Linked DNA regions of Canis lupus familiaris. The protein of the gene in region 1 interacts with the protein of each later gene in a pairwise test. Links are inferred from orthologs where the notes say so. Each region holds a gene or a part of one and is shown on either strand. Other genes may lie near its edges.

Evidence for each region.
Region 2: the proteins of SSX2IP (region 1) and SHFL interact in binary tests that used the Homo sapiens proteins (3 or more experiments, as listed by UniProt). The two-hybrid records come from large-scale screens. The link is inferred for Canis lupus familiaris from reciprocal best matches to the Homo sapiens genes SSX2IP and SHFL.

Annotation. Positions count from the first base shown.
Region 1 is NC_049227.1:63,794,155-63,797,967, forward strand, and holds part of SSX2IP (afadin- and alpha-actinin-binding protein), read left to right. Parts: intron 1-3,144; coding exon 3,145-3,295; intron 3,296-3,813. UniProt on the Homo sapiens protein: Belongs to an adhesion system, which plays a role in the organization of homotypic, interneuronal and heterotypic cell-cell adherens junctions (AJs).
Region 2 is NC_049241.1:51,360,758-51,365,014, reverse strand, and holds the start of SHFL (shiftless antiviral inhibitor of ribosomal frameshifting protein), read left to right. Parts: upstream 1-1,307; 5' UTR 1,308-1,437; coding exon 1,438-1,458; intron 1,459-1,900; coding exon 1,901-2,024; intron 2,025-2,210; coding exon 2,211-2,260; intron 2,261-3,878; coding exon 3,879-3,917; intron 3,918-4,084; coding exon 4,085-4,234; intron 4,235-4,257.

The DNA.
Region 1 (3,813 bases):
AATGTCCCTGTTTGTTTCTAGAACTTGGGAAATGATGGAGATGACTTTAGAAGGACTTAGTGCCAAACACTGTGATAAACACTTTGTGAGCATTGCCTCATTTCACTCTTCTAATTTGATGCTTTTCCTGTCATAATTATCCCCATTTTATAGCTGAGGAAACTGGGGCACACTCGTCTAATGAGTCCCAGTATCACACGTGACAGAACTAGGATTTAAATCCAAGTCTGTCTCACCCCAGAGTTCATGTTTCTAACCATTGTGCTGAGTATCCTCTTAATAGTTTAGGTATTCTGTACTTGAGCCGGCTTTACTTTTCAGAGTGAAGCATTAACTTTGGGAACCTACTAATCTTTCCAGAAATTTGCTGAATGTCCCTTACATTCTGCTCCCTGGAAAGAAAAAGCTAAAAGGATTTTGACTTCTTTCTTTGTCTCAATTGGGGCTCTTATAACAAACTACCACAGCCTGGGTGATTAAGAACAACAGAAATTTATTTTTTACAATTCTGGAGCTGGAAGGCTCAAAATCTGGGGGCCAGTAGGGTCAATATCTGGTGAGAGTACGTCTTCCTGACTGCACACTGCTGACTCCTTGTCCCCTCACCCTCACATAACAGGGGAGAAGAGCTCAACCAAGGCACTCACCCCATTCACGAGGGCTCTACTTGTCATGACTTCATCACTTCCACAGGCCCCACCTCTGACTACCCGCACCTCAGGCATTAGCATTTCACTGTGAATTTGAGGGAACATGAACGTTCAGTCCATTGCATCCTTCAGGAAGCTCTTTGGGGAGATGGGGCATGTGGAAAAGTGATTGTTACACATGTTAAAAGCTATAATAGGGGTGGTACAAGGTGTTGAGCAAAGTAGGTGTGGCAATCAGGGAAGGCATCACAGAGAACATGACATTTGAGTTGGCTCTTGAGAATAGGTAGTTGTTCCTGGGGTTAGGAGCATGTGACAGAGGGAATAATCCGTGCAGAGGTCTGAAAAAAGCAAGTCATGTAATGGTGAAAACTTCTGTTAACTTTACTGCTTTACATGTTTAGATTCTGGATTCAGCCAAGTGACTAAAATCTGAAAATAACATTGATGGGAAATGCTAATTATCAGCAAGTTATCAGAACTTGTTTTTTAAACCTGTATTATGGAATTATTTACCTTGTATCACAGATCAGTCTAACTGATAAGCCTACCCCACCTTCTATCTCTTTTTCCTTTTTTTTTTTTTTTTAAAAAAAAGAAAGAAATGTACCTTAATGTTCTTTTAAACTGTCCAGTTTGGGATCTGCTTGACTTCAGCCTTTTCTCATAGTCTGTCACTTTTTGTTCGTTGTGAACTTGCACAAATATATCTCCAAGGCCAAGCACAGTGTCTGTTATTCCTGCGGTTCCTTCAGTTTTTGGCCCAACCTTTACCATCATTACCTGCTTTTGTTTAGCAAAAGCAAGTAGTATAGTGTAGATCAAGAAGACCTTTCTCGGGCAGCCCGGGTGGCTCAGTGGTTTAGCGCCGACTTCAGTCCAGGGCCTGATCCTGGAGACCCGGGATCAAGTCCCATGTCGGACTCCGTGCATGGAGCCTGCTTCTCCCTCTGCCTGTGTTTCTGCCTCTCTCTGTGTGTTTCATAAATAAATAAAATCTTAAAAAAAAAAAGATTACCTTTCTCAGATGTTTAAATTCCCCCTCTCCTCGCCACTACAGCCAGTCGATAGTATCCTGTATAATTCTTAATAATTCAGATTTTACATGTGGAGAAACAATAATCGCTTCAGTATATTTTTTGTTTTTAAAGTACCTGTTTTTCTAGATCTTTTTTCCTCTTAGGATGTAATCCAATCCTTCCTTTTAAGGATTTTTGGAGCTTTATAGTAGGAGGAATCAGATATAACCTTAAAATGCTTATGTAGCCTTCAGGTTTCGTTAATTTATCATTGTGTTTAATTATAGCCAAACATATACCAAAAATTCAAGTTAAATTTTTATTTTCATGTTGTGGTTTCAGAGTATCTTTACAGTGCTCTGGTATGCTTTAACACGTAGGAGGTGTAGCTCCTTGGAAGAATTATTGGCAAGTAGCTCCAGAGGATTTTCTGGCAAGAACCAGAGTCACAGTGAGCTCTGTGCTGGGCCTTTCTCCAGCCTGCCCCCCACTCCCACCCCCCACACCAGAAGAACTCTGGCAGCCATTGCTCACCCGGGCCAGTGATACAGCTCTCCCAGCCGAGTCCCCCTCTCATTCCTGCTGCACCTGCCCATGGGAACGGTCTGATCAGCATTCCTTCATCTTTGACCTTTCTCCTTTTCTTTCCATGCATGATATTTTATTTTCATGTCAGGGAAATATATCTCTGTCTACTCTCCTGGATGTTAACAACAAATTTAGGACTTTGCAGATTATGCAGATATCATATATGTGTGTGTGTGTGTGTGTATATGTGATATACATGCAGATATATATGCAGATATATCTGCATATATATATGAAATATATATATTTATATATATAAGATAATATAATAATATTTATGTAGCTACAGATTATTTTGACATAATGTATTTTAGTACTGTTTCCCTGTGTTCTTTATCTTGTTTTGATTCTAGGTGATCCTATATCAGTGGTTTACAGTATTTTCCCATGTTTTAAGTGAAAAGAAAAATAATCTCTAGTTTTATTTTTCAAAATTATATGAGAAAAATAGGATTCACAGTTCCTTTTACTTTGTAGATAACCTCAGTGGTTTATTTATTTAAGCAGCCTCAGATTGGAGATAAATTGATCTAACTCCAGATCTCAGCTCTGCCTCTTGGGTGCATGATAGGGGGCAGTGTGTCTACTTCTCGAAGCATCACTTTTCCCACATTTGAGGATGAGTTAGCCTGTGAGAGCTCTAACACAGCACTGGGCAATAGCAAATAACTCTTCCCCACACAGCTCCAGGACTCTTCACTATCATATTTGGATTCAAATTCATATTTGAAGAGACTTGAGTTGCAGAGTTTGTCTTCAGTTATATATGCATACGATATGGCACAAATGATTTTGGTATCTCTGATAATCGGTTTGATTAGTACTGCCTGAGTATCTAGAGCCATTTGAAGATACTGGTCTTTCCTTTTCATCTCTCTTGCTTGTAGGTTATCTCTGATGCTGAAGAAGATGCTGGGGAACTGAGTAGAGAGAGTATGTGGGACCTTTCCTGTGAGACTGTGAGAGAGCAGCTGACCAACAGCATCAGGAAACAATGGAGAATTTTGAAAAGTCATGTAGAAAAACTTGATAACCAAGGTAACTTACTACCGCAGTGCATGCCCAGTGAGTTGTGACACTCCGCTCTTAGTGTCAGTCACTTGGAACGCTACGTTAGGGGCTCAGACCCTGAAGCACTTGAGCTCAGTTGGGTGGGTGGTTTGATAATCAAGCTTCTGTCTACTTTTAGAGGTGAGGTTTGAACCTCATCGAGAAATACTTTGTCCTCAGAGTGAATCTCTCTCTGAAAAGAGGACACTACGTATCTCCATCTCTTCTGAGTACAGTATGTATTTGAATAAAGTGAAGCAAGTCTCTTACCAATCTAGAAATTAAGATTTGTTAATTGTGATAGGTATAAATATGAACTTGTCACTTATTATTCCAAGATATTTGTATACTCCTAGGTTGCTAATTTATTTTTAACTTATTTTCAAAATAATAGATGTTAAATATAAAGTATCAATTAGGAAGTATATGAAGTAGAATATTCAGGTTTCTGTTTCCTATCCATGACACTTAACAGTTTGGTGCTTGTCTTCCTAGATTTTTCTGTA
Region 2 (4,257 bases), on another chromosome or scaffold:
AAGAAAAGAAAGAAAGAAAGAAAGAAAGAAAGAAAGAAAGAAAGAAAGAAAGAAAGAAAGAAAGAAAGAAAGAAAGAAAGAAAGAAAGAAAGAAAGAAAGAATCTAGCAGATCTGGTTCATGTCGGAGCTGGATCAGTTTCCCACCTGTTTCCTCCCTGCTTGTCACCCACCCTGGCTGCGACCTCCTTCTCCTCACTGGTAAGTGGAGATTATGTACTATATATCACAGATACGTGTATAACAAGAGAGCCCCTCCACACCTCCCCACCTCCCTCAGTATAAAATCCCAGGTCCTCTATGCAGCTACAGGCCTGGCTCTCAGCCTGAAATTCCACATTCAGTCACAAAGAACCATGAACTGTTTACACTCATTAATAGGCTCCAGACGGGGCACACAGACCCACAAACAAAGCTTTGGAGGTCAAGTAGAAAACATTAGAACATCTATACTTTTTCATCTCCGTTTCTTTTGGTGTGTGTGTGTGCGTGTGTGTTAAAGAATAGCTTTATGTAATAGGGGCCTCTGGCTGGTTCAGTGGGTGGAGCATGTGACTCTTGATCTCAGGGTCACGAGTTCAAGCCCCACCTTGGGTGTGGAGCCTATTTCAGGGGAAAAAAAAAATTGTGCTGGCCCAGAGGATTCTCAACCTTCCGATTTACAGTGCAGATTCCCAGGCACCCCTGGACTACAGGCTGTTGCTGGACTGCTAGGCACCAGTGACCTCTATTTATCCAACAAGCATCTCCTCCTTCGCCCAACTACCTCCAGCTGTGGCACACAGTAGGCGGCTTAGTGACTCGTTAGGCTACCCCATGCCAGGTGCTACTAAGCGCTCCACCCCGGGTCTCGAATCCTGGCAATCACACCCAGCCACGATGTAGCCGCTGTTATCATCCCCATTTTACAGAGGAGTAAACTGAGGTGCAGACAGGTCCGGACGTAGCCGCGGAAGAGCCTCAGAGCGAGGAGGGGCCCCAGGTCCCGAGGGAGGGGAGCTGCGAGAGCGATGAAGTGGGGAAGCGCGAGCTGGGGGGGGCCCGGAGATTCGCGGCGGCCTTGCGATGCGGCCCCGCCCCCACGAGGGACGTGAAGACGCGGACCCCGCGCAGCGTGGGGACATGTGACCGACTGCAGAGGCCGCGCCGCCTCCACCGCCCGAGGCCCGCGCGCTCCGCCGCAGGGTGCAGACCCCCGGCGCCCGCGGGGCCTGGGGCGCGAGGGCAGAGGCGGAGCCGGGGCGGAGCCAGAGCGCCCCGTCCACGCCGTCACCCCCAGCAATCGAAAGCGAAAGAGGGGGCCGAGAAGGAAGGGCGGAGCCGCCCGGAGGCCCCGCCCCCTGCCCTGCGCGGCTGCTGGACCCGGGCGCGCCCAGGTAGGGGGGCTCCGAGCGCGCAGTGCGGCCCCTCGCGGAACCCGCGCCGCCGCCGCCGCCACCATGTCTCAAGAAGGTGTGGAGGTAGGAGATGCCTGCGCCTGGGCCGGGGGCCCCCGAGAGGCGCCGGGGGCGCCGAGGGGGCTTCGCAGTTCTGGGGACTCCATCCGAAGCCCAGACCTTACCCCTGGCGGGCACTCGCCCCCCCTCGGAAAGGATAATGACCGCCCCGGCCCCCCAGAGTGAGATGCGGCCTCCTCGAGGAAAAGGGGGGCTGCAGGGTCAAGGGTCAGAGGCCAGGTTACCTGGCCGGCCTCCTCCCCTAGCCGGGGGCGCTCGCCCCACTCCGCTCCCTCCCCCAATGCCCGGTGGGGACTTTGGCTTCTCCCAGGAAATGCCGTAGAGGGATGGTGGGGGAGGCCAAAAGCAAGGGTCAAGTTCGGGCGGGGAGAAGGATGCCTAGAGATGGAGGAGGGCAAGTCGCCCCTCTCCTTCCCCGATCGGAACCCCCCTGTGCCCACCCCAGCTGGAGAAAAGCGTCCGGCGCCTCCGGGAGAAGTTTCATGGGAAGGTATCCTCCAAGAAGGCGGGGACTCTGATGAGGAAATTTGGCAGCGACCACACCGGAGTGGGGCGCTCCATCGTGTACGGTGAGCCGGCTGGGGTCCCGGCCCTGGTAGGGGAGAGGAGGGGGGAGCGCGCGAGGGAGGTGTGGTCTGTGTGAAGAAGCGCCGCGCTCATCTTCTGGGGAGGGTCTATATTGGGGTTCTGGGGACCCTGAAACTCCCAGAAGATCCTTCAAGGACCTTTTACTTACACTTAACTCTTGCCACCAGGGGTAAAGCAGAAAGATGGACAGGAACTGAGTAATGACCTGGATGCCCAGGTAAACTGCCCCTCTTGCCCTCCAAGGATGGGGTAGCTGGGGACCGGGAACGGAAGGAACCTGGTGTATCCATGATGAGCCCCATCTGTGCACCACCAGTTCCTAGTTCATGATCCACATTGACTTAGTCACCTTTTAGTCATGCGTCTGACCCGGGAGCCTGCAAACTGTCGGCACTCATTACATGTTGGTGGTATTAAGTGGGGGAGAGAATCGTGAAATTGGGCGGTGAAATGAATCAGGACTGATGTCATTACAGAGGACCCCTGGAGGTCAGTCGGGAAAGGCTTCCTGGAAGAGGTGGTGCCAGCTTTGATGCTGGGGAGAAGGGATCCTGGGTGGTGGGGGAGTTGGAAACAGTCTTCCTGGAAGAGGGAACAGAGTGAGCAAAAGAACACGCAAGACAGGCTAAGATAAACATGAGATGGGGGAGGAGAGAGGGCAGGGGAGCCCATATGATGAATGAATGGCTTTGAGGCACAAATGCAACATGGCTACTTTACACCTTAAATGACTTTGGTGGCCAGTGCACTGTGCATTTCATCTTCCTATAAGGCCCCCCCCATAGTTGCTGAAGAGTATAATAAGGTACATATTGAGTTATTTATATTTACATGTGTAAAGGGTATGATAAAGGTAATAGGAGGGGCGCCTAGCTGGCTCAGTCTGGGGAGCATGCTACTCTTGATCTCAGGGTCGTGAGTTCAAGCCCCACATCAGGTGTGGAGCCTACTGAAAATAATTCTTTAAAAAATTATAGGAGGGACGCCTGGGTGGCTCAGCGGTTGAGCACCTGCCCCTGGCTCAGGGCGTGATCCTTGGTCTCAGGATCGAATCCTACATCGGGCTCCCTGCCTGGAGCCTGCTTCTCCCTCTGCCTACGTCTCTGCCTTTCTCTCTCTGTGTCTTTCATGAATAAATAAATAAAATCCTTTAAAAAATAATAATAAACAAATTAAAAATAAAAGTAAAAAATTATAGGAAAGTGAGCACTCCCCAGCAGCAGGCTTTCCGCGTGTTGCCTCCAATTCCAACCTGAAGGCACTCGCCAAGCAGGCCAAGCAGGTGGCATTTAAGCCGTTTCCACCTAGAACCATAGCTGCGCTCTGAGATGCCCCTCATTAGGGATGCAGGGGGAGTGATTTGGCTCCGCCCTCGCAGCGGGAAGTGCTGGAGTCGGATGGGAACCTGTGTCTGTCTGAATCCAGAGCCCAAGCCCTTAGCCTAAAGCGGCATGGACTCAAAGAGGTGACCCCTCACAGTGCCACCAAGTGTGTGGCATTTACCAGCAGGGAGGGAGCGCGGGGATCCAGGCCTCTTCTGCCATTCTCATTCAGGGTGATCTCCGGCCACCCCTCTCCCAGCTCTGCCTCAGTTTCTTTGTCTGAGCGGTGGGGATAATAGGTGTGCCCTCCACTGTGAGGACAACTGAGGTCGTGTACCTGGCCATCTACAGGCAGGCCCTGCTCAGACAGCCCTTCCTGAGTTAGGGACTCCCTACTCATATGGGGCCAGGACCCTGCCTCCCTCCTCGTCCAGGAGCCTCACCCCCAACAAATAATGGTAAAAAGAGGTCTGAGCTGCACCCGCAGTTCCTGCCCCTGATGTTTCCACCCAGGACCCACCGGAGGACATGAAGCAGGACCAGGACATCCAGGTGAGTCCGGGGTATGGGATGGGGGGAGGTGGAGTGAGGAGGACATCCTTGGGGAGAGTGGATGGTGTCCATGGACGAGGAGAGACATTATAGCAGCAGGAGAGGAGACTTACGCGTGTTCATATTAGCGGAGGAGGCGTGACCACCCTCTTGTCCCTATCCCGAAGGCCGTGGCGACGTCCCTCCTGCCACTGACAGAAGCCAACCTCCGCATGTTCCAACGTGCGCAAGAAGACCTCATTCCCGCCGTCGATCGGCAGTTTGCCTGCTCCTCCTGTGACCACGTCTGGTGGCGGCGCGTGCCCCAGCGCAAGGAGGTGATCACCCGATCCCCATCCTC